4 linked regions of the Caenorhabditis elegans genome follow. The protein of the gene in region 1 interacts with the protein of each later gene in a pairwise test. Each region holds a gene or a part of one and is shown on either strand. Other genes may lie near its edges.

Region 1 (5,599 bases):
GGCCCATTTTGTTCAAAATTTGTGAAAATTCAGGCCCATTTTGCTCAAAATTTGTGAAAATTTAGGCCCATTTTGCTCAAAATTTGTGAATATTTAGGCCCATTTTGTTCAAAATTTGTGAAAATTTAGGTCCACCACGGGGTTCTGGCCTTCCTCATTGAATTTTTCGCGCTCCATTGACAATCGCCTGTCGGACAACGCGTGGAAAAGTGTCGTGTACTCCACACGGACAATTACATTTAGTTTTACAATCGAGCCGCGACGCGACACGCAACGCACCGTAAATCTACCCCAGATGTGGCCGAGCCATAATGGCCTAGTTCGGCAAACTCTTCCATTTCAATTTATGAGGGAAGCCAGAAATCCGTGTAAATGGCGAAACACAATCTAACTTTTGAAAGATTCAAAAAAACTGTTTAAAAAATTTGTTTTTTCAGAAAATCCGATACAAAAAAAAGTTAAAATTAAAAAAAAGATTATTGAGGGAATATATTGAGGAGAGTAAAGTAGTTTGTACCGGTAAATTGAATTTATTAAATGCGGATCAATGGTGGTGATATAATGAAGTAGAACATTTGAGCTAAGGTTGAGAGAGAGAGATGGAAGAAAAAAAAAGAAGTTCAATATTCACCTAAAAGGAAACAGAAAACTTTTCAGGAAACATTTCAAGTTGGTATGGTTTTTGGCAAATTTAGACCCAGGTGGCACGTGGTGTCAGAGTGTCACATGTCGGTTTGATCTACTTAGATCTACAAAAAATGCGGCAGAATTCTCAACTGATTTCGTATGGTTAAGAACGTGCTGACGTCACATTTTTTGGGCGAAAAATTCCCGCATTTTTTGTAGATCAAACCGTAATGGGACAGAAAGGCACCGCGTGAGGTGGGGCAATTACAATAAAGTATTTCGAGTTAATCCAATCCAGGTGGCATCAGCATTCCAGTTGGATCTCCAGATGTTCGTTGCTTTTGCTTCTTATCTTTCATTCGTCGGTTCTGAAAATAATATAAATATTACTGGAAGTCAAAATTCTGAAAATGCGTATTGCACAACATATTTGACGCGCAAAATATCTCATAGCGAAAACTACTCTTTAAATGACTACTGTAGTGTCGACTTACGAGCTCAATTTTCGAAACTAACTTTTTTTTTGAATTGTGACAGCTATCACGTGGAGTCAGAGTGTCCCATTTCGGATTGATCTACGTTGATCTACAAAAAATGCGGCAGAGTTCTCAACTGATTTTACATGGTTAAGAACGTTCAAACGTCACATTTTTAGGGCAAAAAATTCCCGCATTTTTTGTAGATCAAACCGTCATGGGTCAGCCTGGCACCACGTGAGCTATATTAATTTGTTTCTTTTGTTTAATAATAATATTCTATCGATAAATTAATAATCCATTTTAAAACTCGAGCCCGTATTACTGTAGTTTTCGCTACGAGATATTTTGCGCAAAACGCATCCTCGGAATCTAGTGTTTTCTTAGTAATCAATAGATGCAGAATTTCTGATACACGCAGTTATACGATTATTGAATCAAATTGTCCATTTGGAATGAAACATCTTAATAATAAGTAGGGCATCCGTGTAGCCTGCCTGCCTGCCTGGCCTCAAGGCGACCTTCGCCTGCCTATCGCCTCAATCTGCGCTTTTTCATCTATTAATTTTATTTTCATCACATTTGAAATTTGAAAATTCACGTCAAAATGCAAAAAAGAGGCGGTCAGGTTTCAGGCAGGCCCCGAAGCCGCGCCTGCCTACCATGGAAGCCAAAAATACTCACTTGGAACCAAATTTTGACTTGTCGCTCAGTCAAATGCAAGTACTTTGCAAGTTCCCACCGCTTCTGCTTACTGACGTAGGTATTGTACAAAAACTCTTTTTCCAACTCCAATGTCTGCGCTTTCGTATACGGCTTCCTCTTTTTACGCATTGCGTGTGAAGAGGACGTCCATTCTAGTTGACCACCGTCTGAAATAAAAATTTTCAAAAAAACTTCAAAAGCTTAAAAACTTTAACAAACCATTCAAATTTCCATCTAAACTTGGCATTGAGTAGTTTGCAAACGGATATTGTTGTGGATAAGAGTATGGCCAAGAAGATGCAGCAAGACTATTTGAATAGAAATCATTGTACATTGATTGATTAACCATCATATTAAACTCTGTTGGAAATCGACCAGCATTGAATGGGTACATTCCGGCTGCAGCCGCTGCTGGCATTGACATACCACTGCTGAAATTGATTTTATTGGTTTTTGTGTTGAGAACACATACTTGGTGTCACAGTGTCTCATTTCGGCTTGATCTACGTAGATCTACAAAAAATGCGGCAGAGTTCTCAACTGATTTTGCATGGTTAAGAACGTGCTGACGTCACATTTTTTGGGCAAAAAAAATCACGCATTTTTTCTAGATCAAACCGTAATGGGACAGTCTGGCACTACGTGTACTTATTGAATTAAGAATATGAAATTTATAATGTCGGGGTATTTTTTGTATATCTTAAAATTAAAAAAAAACAACTTTCGGCAAATTTTGGCTACTTTTCAAAACAAATCAATAATTTTCGGTAACTATCGGCAATTTTTGGCAATTTTTGGCATTTTTTGAAAACTATCCGCAGCTATCGACCACTTTCGACAAATGTTGACACTGTTTAACAAATTTTCAGAAAGTTCAATAACTTCTGAAAACTATCGGCAACTATCGACAACTGGCAGCCTAAAAGTTGCCGAGCTTCCAATTTTTCGAAAAAATTTCGGCAATTTTTGTGCAATCGGCAAATTGGCAAATTGCCGGTTTGCCAATTTGCCGAGTGGCCGGCTTTTTCGATTTTCAAATTAAATGTAGGAGCATTCATAGAATGCGTAAAATTTTGCCCATTAAAATTGAACTTTTGAAATTTCCAAAAAAAATGTGCAAAACCACAATTTGCCGGTTTGCCGATAGGCCGAAAGTTACAATTTCGCCAATTTGCCGGAATTTTTTGATTCTGACAATTTGCCAATTTGCCGAGTGGCCGGCTTTTTTGATTTTCAAAATAAATGTAGGAGCATTCATAGAATGCGTAAAATTTTGCCCATTAAAATTGAAACTCTGAATTTTCGAAAAAAAAATTGCAAAACCACAATTTGCCGGTTTGCCTATTTGCCTGAAGTTTTCAATTCCGGCAATTTGCCGATTTGCCGGAAATTTTTGATTCCGGCAATTTGCCGATTTGCCGTAAAAAATCGTTTGCCGCCCACCCCTGATTATCAAGGCTATTTATAATTCGAAATTTTTCGGGGCCGGCCGCTGAAGTTGCCGAAAGAAAATTAGGCGTTTAGGAACTTCATGCTTATGGAAATGGGCAAAAATTTGGCTATCTATTGCCGAAGTTGTGGTAATTGTCAAATTTGTATTCTAGTTAAAATTAAAAAGTTTCCACTTGACCGCGATATTTAAAATACTTAACAAACCTCGTTGGGAGTGGTGCAACCTGAGGACTGGAAGCAGTGTCGGATCCTCGTTCCGAATGATTGTCCGCTTGTGTCCTTGATAAATTGTTCGATGCAGAACTGCTGGAACCACTAGAAACACCAGATGATCCAGATACAGATTGCTGCAGTTGTGCAGCTCTTGTCGACCAAAAGTTGTGTTGCATTGCTGCTGCTGCCGCCGAAGACGTTGTTGCAGGAGAATCCGAACGTTTAATGAACGGAGACGTCGGTGATTCATCATGAGTTTCATGAGAATCAGAGCTCTTCACAAATGGGGGTGGCATATTAGAATTGTTCATCATCTGTTGCATCACCGAAATCATTAGGATGATGACGGGAGCTCGCTGATGTTCGGGCGTTGTCTACCGTGAGCAAGCCTGCAAGAAAAGCACTATTTTTGGGGTTTCAGCGGGGAGAGATACTAAAGAAAAGTGGTAAGGTCGGGGGTAAAACGAGGTTGTTAGCGGAAAACAAAAACAGGTTTGGCAAAGACCCAAAAGTGGTGCTTTTCTCTGTGGCATTGCTGGGGGGTAGAGAACGAACATCGGCTCGACGGAGGAGCAAGTAGTACAGGAAGTACAGGATACACTGACAGACATACACGTACAGAGAAAAACGAAACAACTTTATGGGTGCCTTGCCAATTGAAAAAAAAGAGTTATTAAATCATGAAAAAGGAAAAAGAAAGTTGAACTTGAATCGAAAAAAGAGTCAAAGAGGACGACAAACAATAAGGGAAAAAATATAGTGAACGGTGTCTAGGTACCGGTTGGAGAGAACGAAGAATGGGCTAAAAACACAACCCTGTGCAAACGAGATTTGGGACAAAAATTATGAAATTGAGAGAGAAGAGAGCAAATTGAATAATGAATAAGAATCAGAAAAAAATCATTAGTTAGAACACTTTGTGTAAATAGAGAAAATCAGTTGATCAATCGCTCGATGCACGGAGTGACTGGAGCACCGTGGGGGAATGGCCCGGAATGTCGTTGACGCAGTTTCTTGTCCTTCATTCGTCGATTCTGAAACAGTGAAGTTAAGAGAAAGCAAAACAATTCATGCAATGTTAAAATGGTTGGAGTTTAGACAAAACAACATATTTACGGTTTTTGACAATGTTCAGGCGCGGTTTCAGGTTTCTAAAGTTTTCAATTATTTCTCATGGTAGGCAGATGCGGTTTCAAGGCCTGATGCCTGCCTGAAACCTGCTCACCTTTTGCCTCCTTTTTGCACATTTCCATTTTTACGTGAATTCACAAATGTCCAACTTATTTATTTGCACTCTGATAATTAATTACGAATGTTACTTTAGTTCAAAAAAGTGTGGCTACAAAAAGTGGTGCCAGGCTGTCCCATTACGGTGTGATCTACAAAAATGCGGGAATTTCTTCCTAAAAAAAGGTGACGTCAGCACGTTCTTAACCATGTGAAATCAGTTGTGAACTCTGCGCCTCTTATCCCGCATTTTTTGTAGATCAACGTAGATCAATCCGAAATGGGATACTCTGACACCACGTGCTGAAAAGTAATTTTTAACTTTTAAAGTATGGTTATTGATGGATTAGCGCCAGTGAGGAAATTGTTAAAAACTACTCCAGTGGTGCCAAAATGATAGCAAAACTTTTCCAAAAAAATTTTGAAAATTTTGACAAGTTTGACAAGTTTGAAAAGTGACAATTACTCAGTTTTTGAAAGTCATAATTTTGGAAGTCTGCCAAAAAAATTCCTATAAAACATTCTAGAGGTCGGAACAGGTTTAAATATTTGGCATTTTGCCAAAACTTTTCTGGAAATTTTAAAAAATTTTTCAATTTTTTCGAGTTCGTTTTGGCTGGCGCTAAATATTGTATTTTTTCAATTATTAGTGCCCAAACCTTGTAAATGTTCAAAATATTGAAATTTAGTATTTTTCAGATGTTCGTTTTTTGAAAATCCAGAGAAGCTCAAAATTAATTTTTAAAAATGAGGAAATTTGGGAATTTACCAAAATTTCTGGAATTTTTTTCATTAGGACATTAGATAAAAATTCACATTTATGATCTCTAGACTTTCCGCTGAATACTGCCTATAACATACCTGGAACCAGACCTTGACCTGCTTCTCATCAAGCATCA
Region 2 (7,209 bases), on another chromosome or scaffold:
TCCGTGTTGTTCTTCGTCCGAATCTTCATTGTAAGCGTCTCCGCCACGTCCTCGGCTGTACTTCTTCTCGTCATATTCCATAAGAGAAACTTCTGCGGCAGCTGGGGTGACATTGACAACTTTTGAGGTAGGGAAGCAGCTTTTCAGAACCTGGAATAAAGAAAATTTTAGATAAATAAAACGTAACATACAAATCCTATTCTAATCAATTTATAAACATAAATTTTTGTTGCTTTTTTAAAACGGAAATAAAGTCAGTAAATGAAACAAAACCTTAAAAAACAGTTCGAACAATACATTAAGAACAATAAATCTTTAATAAAAATACTTACGGCATAAGCTTTTTCATCATCGAGGAAATGCTCCTTTGGAAATTCGACTTCAAATTCAACGAACAAGTTTCCTTTGAGTTCTGGGTATTTCTTATTTGGCATTCCTTTTCCAAGAACTCCTCTGATGACTCCTGGCTTGATAACATCTCCTTGTTTACTAGAAAGAACCAAAGGATGGCCATCAAGATGTTTGATAAGGAAATTATAGCCGCAAAGTGCCTCATTCAGTGATAGTTTCCTGAAAACAGTAAAACTTAATTTTTAAAAATCGATAAAAAGTTATTACTTGGTCATGTGAAGATCATCTCCATCTCTCTTGAAAATATCATGATCTTTCTGTTGAATAACAATGACAACATCTCCTGGCTCACCATCTGGCTAAAAGATATTTTTATTTAGAAATTTTTTTAAATCAATTATCTTCACATGCACTTACGTCAGATTGGTCTCCATCTCCTTTGAATGTAATTTTATCGTTATGTTTCATGCCAGGAAGAACGTGAACCTCCAATATTTTCGAAACGTTTTCGTACTTTTCTCCATGGCATCCTTTGCACTTATCACCTGCTGGAACTTTGCCTCCAGAACCCTTACAAGCATCACAGTGAACCTGCATTTGTTGGAGCATTCCGGGGCCAATTTGCTGAACGATCGTCTTCACTCCACGACCACGGCATGCATCACACTTATATTTTTCTCCCTTCTTTCCACCTGACCCTTCGCAAGTTTTACAGAGTGCCTTTTTGGAAAGCTTCAGCTTTGATGTTTTTCCGACGTAAAGCTCTTCGAGTGTAACATTGAGGGGATGAACAGTATCTTGGAATTTCCGCCGACGTGGGCCACCTCGTCCCATTCCACCCATTCCACCGAACAAGCCACCAAATGGATGACCACCCATATCATCATCGTCGTCATCGTCATCACCGCCAGCACCGCCGAAGAAGTGAGAGAACAGACCTCCAGGAAAGCCTCCTCCACCACCACCAGCTCCTCCTCCTTGAACTCCTTCCAAACCTCTGGCGTCATACAAGCGTCGTTTTTCAGGGCTCGAAAGAACTTCATAGGCAAAACTGATCTCTTTGAATTTATCTCCATGGTCCGGGTTTTTATCTGGATGGTATTCTTTAGCAAGTTTGAAGTAAGATTTCTTAATGTCGGCCTGCGAAGCGTCTGGTCTCACATTGAGTGTTGTGTATAAAGTGGTGTCCACGGGACCACTACTTCCACCTCCAAACATATTACCTGAAAAAAAATGAATATTAAAATGCGGACATGACAGTGAAAAATTGAGAGAAACGGACGGAGAATGCGCGAGATGTTTGAAAAATACAACTTTTAATAATTCAATAATGTAAATTATTGAATTATTTTTTAGCAATTTAAACAAAATATTTAGAAATCAATTTTCTTACACAACGAACGACACCAACGAGCAAGTGAAAACAAAAACTGAATTTTGTGAACAAGCATCGAACGTTAATTAATGAGAACTGAATAAAAAACGCGGAAAATCGAGAAATTGAGCAAACGCGCGTCAAATCGATAAAAAACCACCGAATTTGGGACTTTGTACTGCAGAGAAAATTCTCGATAAAACCAACGCTGGTCGCGAAACGCGCCAGCATCCAATAACGCGTCAGCCGCAACTTCGCTTGCCCCATTCTCGTGAGCGCACGGCAGAGAGACTGAAGACGTGACAACACCAATACTCCAATAATCTTAGCACGCACACAACTACAATCTATATAAATACTGCATTCTAACTAATAAAAAAGCCAATGCTACTATTACAAGCTATATTTAAAATATTCATAAATTCTAAATAATCCATAAACTTTAAAATTATGAGTGAAAAGTTGCCACCAGGTTGGGGTTCTGTTTTTGGACATTTTTCACATAATATTATCAGGTACACTATGCGCAGTCTGTGACGACATTGCAACTGGCAAACATTACAGCGTTGCTTCATGCAATGGATGCAAAACTTTTTTTCGTCGGGCTCTTGTGGTAAATTTAAATAAGAATAGACCTAGTTGAAATGAATCTGAAAATATTGATTTTTCTCTCAATTAAAATGTTTCAAATTGATATCTAATCACAAAATGTTGTAAGATCAATTTAACAAGCATCAAACATCACCCTTTTTTTAGAATAACCGAGAATTCGTGTGTCAAGGGAATAAAGATTGTCCAGTTAACAAAGGAGTTCGATGCGCGTGTCGTTATTGTCGACTTCAAAAATGTTTGGCCGTTGGAATGGATAAGAATTGTAAGTTTTTGGTATACTTTGAGATTATGGAAGGATCCTAGGGTACATGGTACATCGATTAGTAAAGCCGTAGAAGCAACCCGAAATAAATAAAAAATCACCTGCCATTTTCCACGGCCGAATATGTATAAATAAATATTAAATTGAAAAAATTAGAAAACACTTTTCTGTTGAAATATATATTTTTCTTACAATTAGATCAATTATAGAATAAAAAAGTATTATTCAGACGCGAAATTTGGCGAATTTTCCCTCTCTGCCGGTCTCGGCACGATAAATGTTTGATAAATATAAAAATATATGCGCCTTTAAAGAGTACTGTAGCTTTAAACTTTGCTGATGAATTTTTATCAATTTTTCTCCGATTTTCTATGAAAAATATAATTTTGCAATTGGTAAAAATATTAAAAACACATAAATTTGTGAGAAAAACTATTCAAAATCAATGAAAATTCCACAATAGCGAGTTCAAACTACAGTACTCTTCAAAGGCGCACACCTTTTCGCATTGATCAAAAAACTGTCGCGTCGAGACCAGGGTCACCGTATTTTTGAGTTTAAATAAGGAGAACAATTTTTTAAGAGCCGTTAATTAAGAGGCTCTAGATAAAATTACAAATTTTGAAAACCAATTTTGAAATTTTTCCAGTTTCTCATCAATCTAGAAGTTACAAAATTTCATAGAACAATATACAATTATATTTCAATTTAATTTTTTTTAAAATCTGAATCTATTCAGCAATTCAAAACGACCGTGATAGAATTGGATACACAAAACGAAAAAGAAGACATGATGACAATGATATGGAAGGAGGTGTTCATCATTCAGAACATATCAGAGATGGATCTTCAGGAAGTCCACAAATGAATGATGAGAGCCCCGAGAGTATGGATATGAAGGATATTAAAATTGATTTGGTAACTTTTAAATAGAAATTTCCAAAAACAATGCAATGCATAATTTCAGAATTGTCTGGATCCAATTGCTGATAGGCTTACAACGTTGGAAAATAACTTCACACTACTTTTGAGTAGATGCGCCGATTTGCATTCCTATGCAACGTTAGAAGATGCTCTCAATGCTCCAAGTCGATTTATGCAACCTATTTCTTGTGAAGTGAGTTGAAGAAATGATTTATAAAGTAGCGTCAATAGATGTTTGGTATTGTTTATGTGCATTAAAATAGTTTCTTTTAATTTTGAAAGTCGACCAAAAAATTTCAAATGTTTCTGAAAATTTTGGCATTTTACCAAAACTTGACTGAAAATTTCAAAAAATCCAGAAAATTTGGTCATATTGGTCTATTATAAATGAATTAAATTCAGAACCCCAATGGTCATATACTGTTAAAAATTTGCATAAGTATTTAAATTTTTGTAATATGAAAAATGTATAAAATCACGTCTAACAGCTTGAGCTAAAAATTTTAAAATTTTCATGAAATCTACTATTATAAAAATAAGACTGAACGAATGATTGGGATTTTTTCAAAATTGGAAAATTCACTTTTTTTGGTACAAAAATACGCCGAAGTTTATTAAAATTTACTTTTTAATTTTAGTTCCAAATTCGATTTATTTTAAAACTTTACAAAAAATTATTTTCCCAATTTTTTGGAATTCGTCAATCAAAAAAATTCCAATTTTATGTTTAAAATATATTTAAAATATTCATCTTCCAACATTGTAGATGCTCAAATATGCGACAGTGCATTAGATTTCTTGAAAAGTGCCGCAAACTTAGTTTTCACCGCTTTCTGACTTTTTTTAGATCTATTTCCAAATTTCCACAATACTTACAACTTATTTCAGTGGTCAGACAATGTAGTTCTCACAAATCGAGATGATAAATTGCCATTCTGGAGGCAACGTTTGATAGCTCTATACATAGATTGGGCGAAGACATTTTCCACTTTTAGATCCCTACCGTACGCTGACAAAGTAAGTATCTAAACATTCTCCTCTACCTCTTCCATCATCCACTTTTTCAGGTTGCCATGGTAACTAATCATGCATCTTCTTTCATGATCATGTGTGAAGCTTTCCGCACTCCAGAGCACATGAAATCGGATGTTGTTCGTAAGAGACCGGATCTTCCAAATATCGTGACATCAAACTCCGGATCCGGATGTAGCAGGGTTTCATCGGTGGCTGGAAGCTTAGTGAGCAATGGGGAAGATGTACACGATGATTTGACAAACTTGCTTCATGCGGCATGTATCCAGCAGTCTATCAACAAAGGGATCATGTTTGGAGAGAATTCTTCTGATGATAAAATACTTTTGAATCTTCCAATTCGGTATAGATATTCAAACCCATAAGTCTCAATTTATATTTTTTCAGAGAAATAAAGAAAGAACCACTAGAAGTTCCATCGACAGAAGGAATGATTCAACTTCCAACTGAATATGGCAACCTTCCAGCAGACTATGCTTCGTGGATCCCTCAAGATTACGGTCATCCAACAGCTGGACACGAAGGAAAATCAGATATGCACAATTTCTTTGAAGCTCGAGACTTTTGTGTGGTAAAATTTTTTTTTTTCAAGTACATAAAGTTAATTTTTCTTAAACAGGGTCGTCCATCCTCCTGCAACTTGAATGAACGATCTATGAAAACTGTTTCAATGTTGGAATCGAGAAACTTTCAGTCTCCAAGTGCAAAGTGGGTTCTTTATTTTTTTGAAAAACAATCTAGTTTGAAATTTATAAAATAATGAAACACAAAACCGTAATCTATAGAGCCATTTTTGCAAAAGTCAACCTAAAATTGTGTCTATGATTTTTACATTTAAATTATGTTTCAAATATTCACCTTAGAACATTCTAACTTACCAAAAGCTTAGCTGTCACTTTTGAAAGCTTTCAAAATTTTTAAAGTGTTTTATTGTGATATTCAGTCATGATAAATGTGTATTTAGACTATATTCTTATAGTTGATGTATCTGACGTTACCAAGGAATTATGAGAAAAATCGGTGGCAGGCTTAATGTGCCTAGTAGACGCCTAGGCATTTTGTTAATTTTGGAAGGTATGGTCAGTGGGGACCTAGTCTAATTACACTTATTATATATAGTCCAACATGACAAAATACCTTAATTAAACAATTTAAAAACGATCTTAGATTTTTCTCAATTTTAAGTTTTGGGTTTATGTTTTGTTCAACTTTTGGCAAATTGCCAAATTTCAACAATGTACAGCTTAGAGCTTTTGTGCAATTTCGAGAATTGATGCAAGTTCGGACCTCCAGAGTGTTATGTACAATCAATACAAAATTAAAGTATAAAACTCGAAGAAAAAAATTATTTTTGGTCGACTTCCAAAATTACAACACTTTGACTGTAAATTAAAATTTTTCAGAGGTAAGAGATGAAAATGTAGTTTCAAACTATTGCCCTACTGACGATATTCCATGTTTAACTTCAATTAAATTTTGATTTTCAGCAATTCGAGTCTTTCTGGAATAACACCAGTCCTCACAATGATGATCGATCTTGTAATGAAACCATTCCGCCAGTTGAACTTCTCCACGACAGAATTCGCTCTACTTCAAGCAATCATGTTCTTCGATCCAGACACCGAAGGACTCGATTCGGCATCACAAAGAAATGTTGTAGCAGAACAGAAGAAACTACTTGCAGTGCTCTTTCGTCATTTGCAAAAGGCTTATAATCCGCAAGCGGCAAGCGAGAGATACGCTTCAATTATTCTTCGAATGCCATCGATTCGGGTACGCGTTGAACTTTCGATCTGTCTGATTAAAAAATTCTATAAATATTTCAGAGAGCCGCTGCAAAAAAGAATGAATCATTGCAAGTGCTGGATATGCTTCAAATGCATGAAATTAATTCTCTAGTGAAGGAAACATCGCTCGGTCCGAGACCTTCAAATGTTCAACAACGAATGGGAATTGGTGGTGGTGCAGGAGGATGTCTCACGTTTCCATCTCAAGAGGATTGAGGATTGAGGATTAACTTCAAATCATTGAATCTACATATTTTTTGATCTCATTAATATCATACTCAGGATTCCATCAGTATAAATTGCCTAGATAAAACCAAATAAAGAATGTTTATTGATACTCAACGTTATTAGAAAATATCGAAAATTTAATAAAAAAACTGAGTTAAATCCTCAAGGTATCTGATTAATCTTATTTTTAAATAGAAGTTATTGGTTGTGAAATGATTGGGATGTTTCTCTGATCATTGATCAATGTTTCATCCACTACTTCCAATTTTGTGGTCTGATTCCATCTTCCAAACCAGTCATTGACAGCTCGATCAGCTTCTCTGCGACCACTCAAATAACCTCCGATGGTTGTTTGGAATAGTCTGAAATTGATTGTTTAGACTTTTTTCTCTTATCTCTGAAATAGTATACCTGTGATGAGTTGCTTCACCGGCAAACAGAACCTTTGGTCTTCCTTCCAGTTTCACTGGAATCGCAAGTTGAGAGTGAGAAATATGGGAGAGCGCTTGCACTTGAGTCATGTAGGAATAGGATCCTAGAAGCAACTCGTTCTTGGTCAGCTGAGTTCTGATAATCTTGCTAGGCTCGGGAATACTTTTGTCGTTGTACATGTCTCGCATCAGTTTTGTAATTCTTTG
Region 3 (5,176 bases), about 10 Mb from region 1:
TTAACAGTAATTCGAATCACCGCCAAAAATATTCACAGAATTTTGAATTCCCGCCAAAAATATTCACAGAATTTTGAATTCCCGCCAAAATTTTTAAAAAGAAATTTGAATTCCCGCCAAAAATATTCACAGAATTTTGAATTCCCGCCGAAATTTAAAAAAATTGAATTCCCGCCAAATCTTTCCTCAGAAATTTGAATTACCGCCGAAATTTTTCTCAGAATATTTATATTCCCGTCAAAATTTTTTACAGAAATTTGGATTACCGCCATATTTTTCTCTCAGAAATTTGAATTCCCGCCAAAAAAAATCTCATAATATTTGGAATTCTTCAGAATTAGCGAATTTGTGAAATTTATCTAAAAACTTTTTAAAAAGTAGGCTCTGAAAAGTCTCGAATATTGTTTGTTACATTTCGAATTAAAAATCTTAAAAGTTTTGACCACATTTTTGAGTATAAAAACCCAAAATTGTTAAAACTGTACCAAATTACAGATTCATGCCTAAACTATATCTTACACACATTAATTTTTACCGGGAAAAAAAATATTTATTTCAGACTTTTCCAGACAGAATTTTCTAAATTTTTAGGAAACCAACTATATTAAATAAGCAAAAAAATAATTTTTAACTTTTCTGAAAAGTCAATAATTTCGACGTCTGGACTTCATATCGTTGACGCAGGTCATGCAGGTTCTCGGGCGGTTTGAATGATCAAATGGACATGTGGATTTGTTACAAGTGTCCTCATAACGGCACATATTATGGGAATATATGCATTTGGCTCCAGGACATTGGGGGAAGTTTCTGGAAACTTTTTTTTGGTGAAAACCGTTGTTTTGAGCTTCTGAAATGTGCTCAAAATTCAGAAAAAATTGCTCACTTGCACTTGACCGGCGGGCCATGAGGACAGGATCCAACTCCACGGAGAGCACCACCAACTGAGACATTTTGACTGGAATTACGGCTTCCATGGCGATACATCCGCTTTTTTACTGTCTCCTGGAAAATTAGATTTTGAAAAAGGTTCCAACGGCTCAGCTGGTTACAGGTTTTGCTTCGAAAGAATTGGTCAAGGGTTCGAGTCCCACCAGTGGTAATTGTTTTTTTTTTAAATTTTTTTTATTTGAAAAATTGTTCTAAAATCCCAATTTGAGCCATAACTCGAAAATCGAAAATCTCAGGAAGCAAAATAAACTAAATTTTTTGGATTTTGCTCAAAAAATACGTTTTAAAACCCAAAAATTCTTCAAACCTTAAAAATATGATCCCTGAACTCGTCCCAATCATCATCTGACATTAATTCAGAGCTTTTACCAAATGGCTCCTGGCAATACGCGCAGATTACAGGCTTTGGGCCGTGTCGGTGGGCGGTATGGGCCGCCAGGCGCTCAATTGATTCGGATTTCTGAAAAAAGTTAGTTTTTTCCCCAAAAATCGATATTCCTAGAAAAATCAATATTCCTCCAAAAATCAATAATTTTTCCAAAAATCAATAATTTTCAATATATCTAGAAAAATCAATATTTCTAGAAAAAATCTATGTTCCTCCAAAAATCAATAATTTCTAAAAAATCATAGTTTTTTCCAGAAATTAATATTTCTAGAAAAATTATTATTTCTCCATAAATCAATAATTTCCAACAAATCGATAATTTCCAAAAATCAATAATTTCCAAAAATCATTATTTATCCAATAATCAATATTTCTAGAAAAATCAATATTCCTCCAGAAATTAATGTTTTTTCCGAAAATTTTCCATAAATCAATATATTCCAAAAATCATAGTTTTTTTCCAGAAATTAATATTTCTAGAAAAATCATTATTTCTTCATAAATCAATAATTTCCAAAAATCAATAATTTCTAAATATCGATACTTTTTCCAAAAATCAATACACCTAAAATCGATATTTTTCAGAAAATCATTCTTTTTTCAAAAATTCAATATTTCTAGAAAAGTCAATATTCTTCCAAAAATCAATATTTTTCAAAAACCATTAATTTCCATAAAATCGATAATTTCTGAAAATCAATATTTTAAAAAAATAAATATTTCTAGAAAAATTAATATTTCTAGAAAAATTAATATTTCTAGAAAAATTAATATTTCTAGAAAAATTAATATTTCTAGAAAAATTAATATTTCTAGAAAAATTAATATTTCTAGAAAAATCTATAATTTTTCAAAAACCATTAATTTCCATAAAATCGATATCTTCCCAAAATCAATATTATTTTTAAAAAATCAATATTTCTAGTCCATTTACCTTGTCACAATGATAGCAATTAAATTGATCTTCATGATTTTTAATCTCGTGCTCCGCGAGCTCCCGAATCGAGTCGAAAGCTTTCCGGCACTGACGGCAGTTGAATTGGGGAGCCTTCGGTGTCCGAGAACGGTCACGGACTGGGGAGCTGGAATTTTCGACAATTTTGGATTAAAACGGGAGAAAATTGGGCTAAACTTGTTTGCATTTTTTGAATTTTTCGAAAAATAGGAAGGACATAGATAGATCGATGAAAATAGTGATACAGTAGTGATAAAAATTTTTTTTTGTTACAATAAATTGATATCAACACAACAAATCATATATTGAGCCATAGCCTGGCTCATAATGCTCGGAGAGCAATATAACCTAGATTTTCGGATTTAGCAAAAAATTTTAAATAAAAAATTGTTCCAATGGCTCAGCTGGTTACAGCCTTGACTTCGAAAATAGGTCAAGGGTTCGAGTCCCACTAGTGGTAACAACTTTTTTTTGTTTAATTTGGCATAACATTTGGTTTTTTTCTGAAAAAATTGTCCTAAAATTCAATTTTGAGCCATAGCTGGGCTCGAAATGCTCAAAATTTAAAATTCCAAGCCAAGTAACTCTATAAAAATAATAAATGAGCAATTTGCCATGTAATCCATGTTTCCAAAAAAACACAACACAATAGATAAATAAGATACTTCTTCCCATATATATAGATAGTTTCAAAATATTTTCCAACTACAAAAATCAATATACTCAATCTCCTCAAACGTCCCACGGCTTGTTGAGCGGCTGCGGTTTCTTGCAATTGGACTGCAAAAGCGTCAATTTTAATTTTTTTTTTTGATTTTAAAAGTGACTAACATACCTTCTAGACCTTTCCCTGTTTTGTTTTGACCTGAAATTTAGAATTCAAAAAAAAAAGAAGATTGCTAGAAAACACCCGTACTTGATATATTTTCAAGTTTTATAGTGAAAAATTCGAATTCTCCGCCATGAAAAACCTAAATACACTGCCGGGGACTCGAACCCGCGACCTTTTTCACAGAGGTCAAACCTCTTACCCACTGCGCCACGGCGCCCATTACGCGCAGCAGCAGCGCCTGGCTCGGCGTACCGGTGGCGCAGTCGGTAACAGGGCTGGTTTTGGTGAAAAGGTCAGGGGTTCGAGCCCCCGCTGGGGTATTCAGGTTTTTCATAGCGGAGAATTCAAATTTTTCACTTTAAAATTCAAGATATCAACTCTAAAAGCACATTTTCAGACAAATCTTGCTTACCTTTTCTTATAGTCCTTCTTAGTTCTGCGATTATCCTCGCTGCTGCTCATTTTGGCACCTTGGCAGAAATAAGAGAAAAAAGGGGAATTCGTAAAGCAACAAAGCTGACAACAAAAATAAAAAGAAGTTGGAGCTTTTCCTTCGGGGAGAGGAAGGCGACCAGTTACCACGGAAACCTCGCCGCACCCCCTAATTGATAAGAGTTTTTCTGATTTCCACCTGCTGGTCGGGCTCTCGGCGTGCCCAGTGAGGTGTGAACTTTTTGTGGGAAAAAAGGAAAAAAAATTAGGGAAGGAGATTTTCATGTATTTGAAAATCAAAAAACAAAAATCATAGTAAAAATTTAAAAATCGATAATATATATATAATATACGAAAATAATCAAAAAATTCAAAAAAAAATCGATAACTTTACGAAGGAGTCGGCGAAGATTCCTCGAATGGTTCGACGTCGGATTTTCGGCGACAAATGAAATATTCGGGTACAATAATCGATAATTCGCGGCGACGTAGAGCCTGAAAATTAGATTTTTTTGAAGAAAAAATTATCGATTTTTTTTTGGAATTTTTTTTTGAGAAATATTGATTTAAAAAAAAAATTTTAGAAATAAAAACTTACATATCCCGCCGAGCATTTCGTGCAATTGAGCCAGCCAACAAAAAATTGGAATATTTGTGAAATTCGGGACCATACCCGTTGAAAAAAGCAAAAAAATTATTTTTGAAAAAAATCTATTTTTTTCAATTTTTTTATAAAAATTTAAAAAATTGTTAAATATTGAAAAATCACAATAACTACAAAAATATCATTTTAAACATGCATTCTAGCATTTGGAGATGCTGAAAATCGTCGTCTAACACATTTCGGCGACATTGAGGCCAGCGTTTTCAGAAAGTTACAGGTCGATGACGTCATCGGCTCTGCCGGTGTGGCAGTTATGTAGGCCAAGCTGTGACGGGTGGAAGCCGTGCGATGTTGTCTGCCAGAAAATGCAGAAATTTTCACCTGAGTAAGGTCCTGTTTCGTTTCGACGCTTAAGCCCGAGCTTAGGCCCGAGTCATCGCCGGATATCGAGTGCTGGCCGTTTATTGCCTGAAATTTATTGATTTTTCAATATGAAAACTAAGTCAGCAGTAGTCTGAAAATTTATCCATCGACTGATTTTTAGATCGTTTGAAAATATTGATTTTTGACTGATTTATGTAGAAATTTGTAAAAATCTAAATTTTGAAAAATACTTCGAGTCGCTACTCAGCCAATTTTCGAGATTTCACAATTATTTATGAGAATATAGATTTGTCAGACTGAGAGCTTCAAATTAAGTATAAACACGACTAGGTTCCGTGCAAAAACAATTTAGGCTCCGTCCACTTGTTGAAAAATATTGTGAAACTTCAGTTTTTCGAGAAAATACTGTTGTTTTCATTTAGATTTAGTGAAATTCAGTTTAGCCACTTTGAGAGCTTTTATTTAAGTATAAACACGACTAGGTTCCGATCGAAAAACGATTTAGGCTCCGCCCACTTCTTGGAAAAAATTGCGAAATTTGGGAGATTATGATTTTTCAAACAATTTTTCATTACATTTCTTCAATATTATCATTAAATTTAACTTTGTCACGCGGAGAACTTTAATATTAAG
Region 4 (3,720 bases), 7.2 Mb from region 1:
TGCTTGATTTCCTACAAGAAAACCTAGATCTATTGTGTACCAACCCGCAAAAGCTCTCTTTTGTAGTAGGCGAAAGGTAGGCATGTGTGCCTTGAGACAAAGCTGTTGCTTTCTTCTCAGGATTTGTTCCATATTCTTAAGAATTAGAAGCTTTTGTGAGAAAATTTAAAGAGTGTAAACTTCTATCAAACTTCTCTTTTTTCAGTTACGCAATATGCAGCCCAAACTTATGGATGATTGTTGCTTGTACATGCATGACACTCCTTACAATGCTTATGACGTTATATATGAATTGCGGGTTTCGAAGGAATGTACGATGGCTGAAGTTCACTGAGTGGAAGGTTTGTGTTCATTAGATCAGATTGTTAGTGCAGGTTCAACGTATCTTCCTTTTCGGGCCCTGCCTAAATATTTCATCCGACCGAGGCGTAATGATCATTGATGATCACGTAATCGCCATCCTCTTGCAATAGGCGCCTTCCGGTCGAGAGGGGTGAGCGTGAATTGTGAAGCTCACTTCTATTCATATTTCAGCTCCAGCAACTCGCCGAACGTCTCCGCATTCAAGAGCCAAATGTAGGTCTTCTTATGCAAGTAACCAGAAAAGTGAATGATAAGAAGAACAGTGATAAGAAAGAATTCGACTTTTTCAACAATCGAGATCAAAATAACAATATCGCAGGAGCATTGAATGAAGTGGCAAGTAAGACAAGTAATGGCTCAATGGGATCAACGGATGTAGTTGCTGCTCAAATCAGAAAGGCGAGAGATGAAGACGTAGAGAAAGTGTTGCGGGAGAGTAATATGGATATTCTTACTCCTGATGTGTATGTTTTAAGTTTGAATTTTCTGAAAATGATTATATTTTCAGCCAACCCACTCAACCAAGCACTGGAGGATCTCAGAAAATTCTGAAAAAGTGGACAGGAGCAACAATAGATCTCTTCTCGAAAGATGAGGATGAGAATGAAGGGAAAGGAAAAAAGGAAAGAAAAAATAAAATTGATCGAACTCAAGAGGATTGATTTTTAATAAAGATTTTTCATTAAAAAATTCCCATTGGGTTTCAATATAAGAATTTCCTGCACCATAGTTATGGCCCAGGAGCCAGCCAGAAGTATAGTCACAAAGCGTATTATCAGGTCTATCAGTATTCATAGAGAGTATTCATACTTCTGGTTTTTTTTGTCGCTACTTGGGCTGATATTTCAGTTTCACAAGATACATTCCCAACCATCACTATTCAAAAGTCGACGGGGCTCCTGCTCGGAAAAGTTTGACAAAAGAAACCCAGGATAAAAAGAACTGCTTCAAATAAATGATTTCAAATAGTTAAAATCACAAAAAACTAGATATCAATTTTAAATCGCTCGGCTCCTCCGATGAGCACATAATCCTTTTTGAGCTCATGAAGAGTCCGCAGCCAATATTTTTAGGGCAAGTCTTACGGGTACGGTAGTTGAACAATTAACTCGTGTTAAGATCTGGAAATTGCCTCGATATTGAGCAAAAATCGAGAGAATTGTTTGCGATTTACTTTAGTTATACGTGTTACAGTTTTAAAACAAAATGAAGAAAAACACGAAAATTAATAAAATTCGAAAGTTATATTTTTAATGAACTTCCTCAGCGTGGCACTCTAATTTGGTTGGCATCTAAGCTCCGCCCACATCAATGCCTATAAAAGATCAGTTTCTTGATAAAATGATTCATTCATCGATTTAACACCAACTCACTTCAACTAGTACAACTACTAACATTCTCCACAATGCAAGGACAAGGATCACCATTCTGCCGTTCTAGGTATGTATTACATGAGCCCGAGTCTTATGTCTCAAGTTACCATGAATATTTTAGAACCCGCTCGAGATCTCGTGGAGCTTTCAATCGTAGCTCCAACCACGGTTCAGTGCTTCCAATTCAGCCTGCCGTATTGGATTCAATTGCCGAGGAATCATCGTCTACTATCATGACAGTAGTCAATCCTTTGATGGTGGCAGCAAGACAGCTCAAATTTGCTTGCCAGATGGCTCATGGAAGTCCAGTTGGAATCATCGACAAATGGAACAATATGGAGGAATTGTATCAATCAATTGCCGATTGCTTTACAATTTCAAAAGATGATATCATTTTCCTGACAGTCAATGATTTTAAGGTTAGTTTTGACATAAATAAGTCAAATTCTTATTCTAAATATTTCAGCCAGACATGAAGAACATGTTCACTGGAACACTGAACTTCAAGGATATGCTCTTCGCCCACATTCGCGGACAAGCAACCGAGCTCCGAGTCGTCAAAGATGCTAAAAACTTTGGAGTGACAATCACGGACAACGGACTCGGGAATGCATTTATCAAGGTCATAAGCCCAGATTCGGTGTTTGATCGTATGCGTCCAGCCACTCAAGTTGGTCAACTCATTGAGGCGGTCAATGGAGAATGTGTGCTCGGGAAAAGGCATTACCAAGTTGCCCGAATTTTGAAAAATGTTCGTCGCGGCGAGGAATGCGTGGTTCGATTGATTGCTCCAAAGACTGCTGATCCAGGAACCATGAAGACGACTGGAAAAACTGGCGGAGGTCTGGCAAAAGGAACCATTCGTTTCAAATCGGAAGGCGGATTTGCTGTTGAGGATGTTCAAGATCAGATGATCCAAGCTGAGATGTGCGGAAAGCTCAATGAGATATTCGACCAATACTTGGGAGTTCAAGATGATCAGCTGGCCATGAGAATCTGGGAAACTGCTTCAAACTGCGAGACGCTTTTGCAACTCAGTGAAGCCATCAAAGAGTCGGAGCTCTCAATGTTCGATTTCCCGGATGGAATGGTTTTCGATATGTGGGGAATCATCGGTGATTTGAAGCGGGAGCAACGTGAGAAGAAGCCATCCCCAGTCATGAAGAATGCGATTTCAAGACCATCGGCTATGAAACTCTTTGAGTAACTTTTACTGTGGAATAAATTATTTTAATCTCCGAACTGTCTTAAATTGGTTTAAAGTATATCCCACTAACTTTTCAAATTTATTCGATTCACAAGACTTGAAAAACACTCTTTCCGCTGCTTAGTTCGATTGTTTCATTCAGCACATCTTATTCTCCAACAGGCATCCGCATTTCATAAGCCTCTAGAAAATCATAGCATTCATCGATTCCCAGTTTAAATGCTGTTTAAATGAAGCTTCAAATTTATTTTATTTTTCTTTTGTCAAAATGTTTATTTTAAAACAGCGTTTTGTCAAAAGTATGTATTCAATTTTATGCTTTCCCATTGGTTTCTCATTGGAGCTCTCGAGCTCCAAATGTCCGTTACACCATGTCCACCTGCAACCTAGTTAGAAGCGAAAGATAAAATCTGCATAAACTTCAAACGTTTTGTATTAATTTGTAAGATTTTAACGCTTATTTACATAAATACAGTTTATTTTTTTCGAGATCATAAGATTTAGTTCTCAAACGAACTTTGGATATGTGCAATACGAGATGATTCCTAATGTTCATGGTCGAATGACATTTGCCGCCACTTTTTCAGCAATTACACACCAATTGCCATGTTCAAAAGTTGCTGAGACGACTTTTAGACTCTCCACGGAATCTACTAAATCGGCAAGTTCACCGTCTTTGAAAACATGATAGAAGCGGTAGAATGTGACCTGAAAATGGAAAATTATTAGCTGAAAATCTCTTAATTTAATTGTAAGTAAAATCGCAGCTTGGTAATC

What was found.
Region 2: the proteins of php-3 (region 1) and nhr-47 interact in a two-hybrid assay, tested with the Caenorhabditis elegans proteins (one large-scale study listed by BioGRID).
Region 3: the proteins of php-3 (region 1) and Y22D7AL.16 interact in a two-hybrid assay, tested with the Caenorhabditis elegans proteins (one large-scale study listed by BioGRID).
Region 4: the proteins of php-3 (region 1) and gipc-1 interact in a two-hybrid assay, tested with the Caenorhabditis elegans proteins (one large-scale study listed by BioGRID).

What each region holds. Positions count from the first base shown.
Region 1 is NC_003281.10:12,073,695-12,079,293, forward strand, and holds php-3 (Homeobox protein php-3), read right to left. Parts: upstream 3,863-5,599; 5' UTR 3,809-3,862; coding exon 3,465-3,808; intron 2,240-3,464; coding exon 2,028-2,239; intron 1,976-2,027; coding exon 1,788-1,975; intron 996-1,787; coding exon 912-995; 3' UTR 524-911; downstream 1-523. Other genes in the region: Homeobox protein nob-1, read right to left, coding at 4,409-4,507, 5,562-5,599. UniProt on the Caenorhabditis elegans protein: Probable transcription factor, involved in posterior embryonic patterning, morphogenetic movements of the posterior hypodermis, and cell fate specification. May regulate expression of transcription factor dmd-3.
Region 2 is NC_003283.11:5,503,277-5,510,485, forward strand, and holds nhr-47 (Nuclear hormone receptor family member nhr-47), read left to right. Parts: upstream 1-1,976; 5' UTR 1,977-2,176; coding exon 2,177-2,198; intron 2,199-2,241; coding exon 2,242-2,339; intron 2,340-2,482; coding exon 2,483-2,600; intron 2,601-3,339; coding exon 3,340-3,518; intron 3,519-3,567; coding exon 3,568-3,717; intron 3,718-4,412; coding exon 4,413-4,541; intron 4,542-4,591; coding exon 4,592-4,899; intron 4,900-4,943; coding exon 4,944-5,127; intron 5,128-5,175; coding exon 5,176-5,264; intron 5,265-6,043; coding exon 6,044-6,329; intron 6,330-6,382; coding exon 6,383-6,559; 3' UTR 6,560-6,680; downstream 6,681-7,209. Other genes in the region: dnj-19 (DNaJ domain (prokaryotic heat shock protein)), read right to left, coding at 1-150, 333-570, 619-710, 769-1,569; hpo-15 (Amine oxidase domain-containing protein), read right to left, coding at 6,759-6,933, 6,983-7,209. UniProt on the Caenorhabditis elegans protein: Orphan nuclear receptor.
Region 3 is NC_003281.10:1,661,568-1,666,743, forward strand, and holds Y22D7AL.16 (C2H2-type domain-containing protein), read right to left. Parts: upstream 3,650-5,176; 5' UTR 3,586-3,649; coding exon 3,536-3,585; intron 3,157-3,535; coding exon 3,127-3,156; intron 3,072-3,126; coding exon 3,015-3,071; intron 2,419-3,014; coding exon 2,271-2,418; intron 1,409-2,270; coding exon 1,256-1,408; intron 1,003-1,255; coding exon 884-1,002; intron 808-883; coding exon 645-807; 3' UTR 537-644; downstream 1-536. Other genes in the region: Y22D7AR.3 (Ovule protein), read right to left, coding at 3,926-4,050, 4,154-4,226; glb-30 (Globin domain-containing protein), read right to left, coding at 4,346-4,627.
Region 4 is NC_003281.10:4,869,072-4,872,791, forward strand, and holds gipc-1 (PDZ domain-containing protein), read left to right. Parts: upstream 1-1,706; 5' UTR 1,707-1,768; coding exon 1,769-1,803; intron 1,804-1,857; coding exon 1,858-2,155; intron 2,156-2,202; coding exon 2,203-2,943; 3' UTR 2,944-3,190; downstream 3,191-3,720. Other genes in the region: C35D10.3 (uncharacterized protein), read left to right, coding at 206-341, 535-827, 872-1,025; C35D10.12 (Methyltransferase type 11 domain-containing protein), read right to left, coding at 3,496-3,651.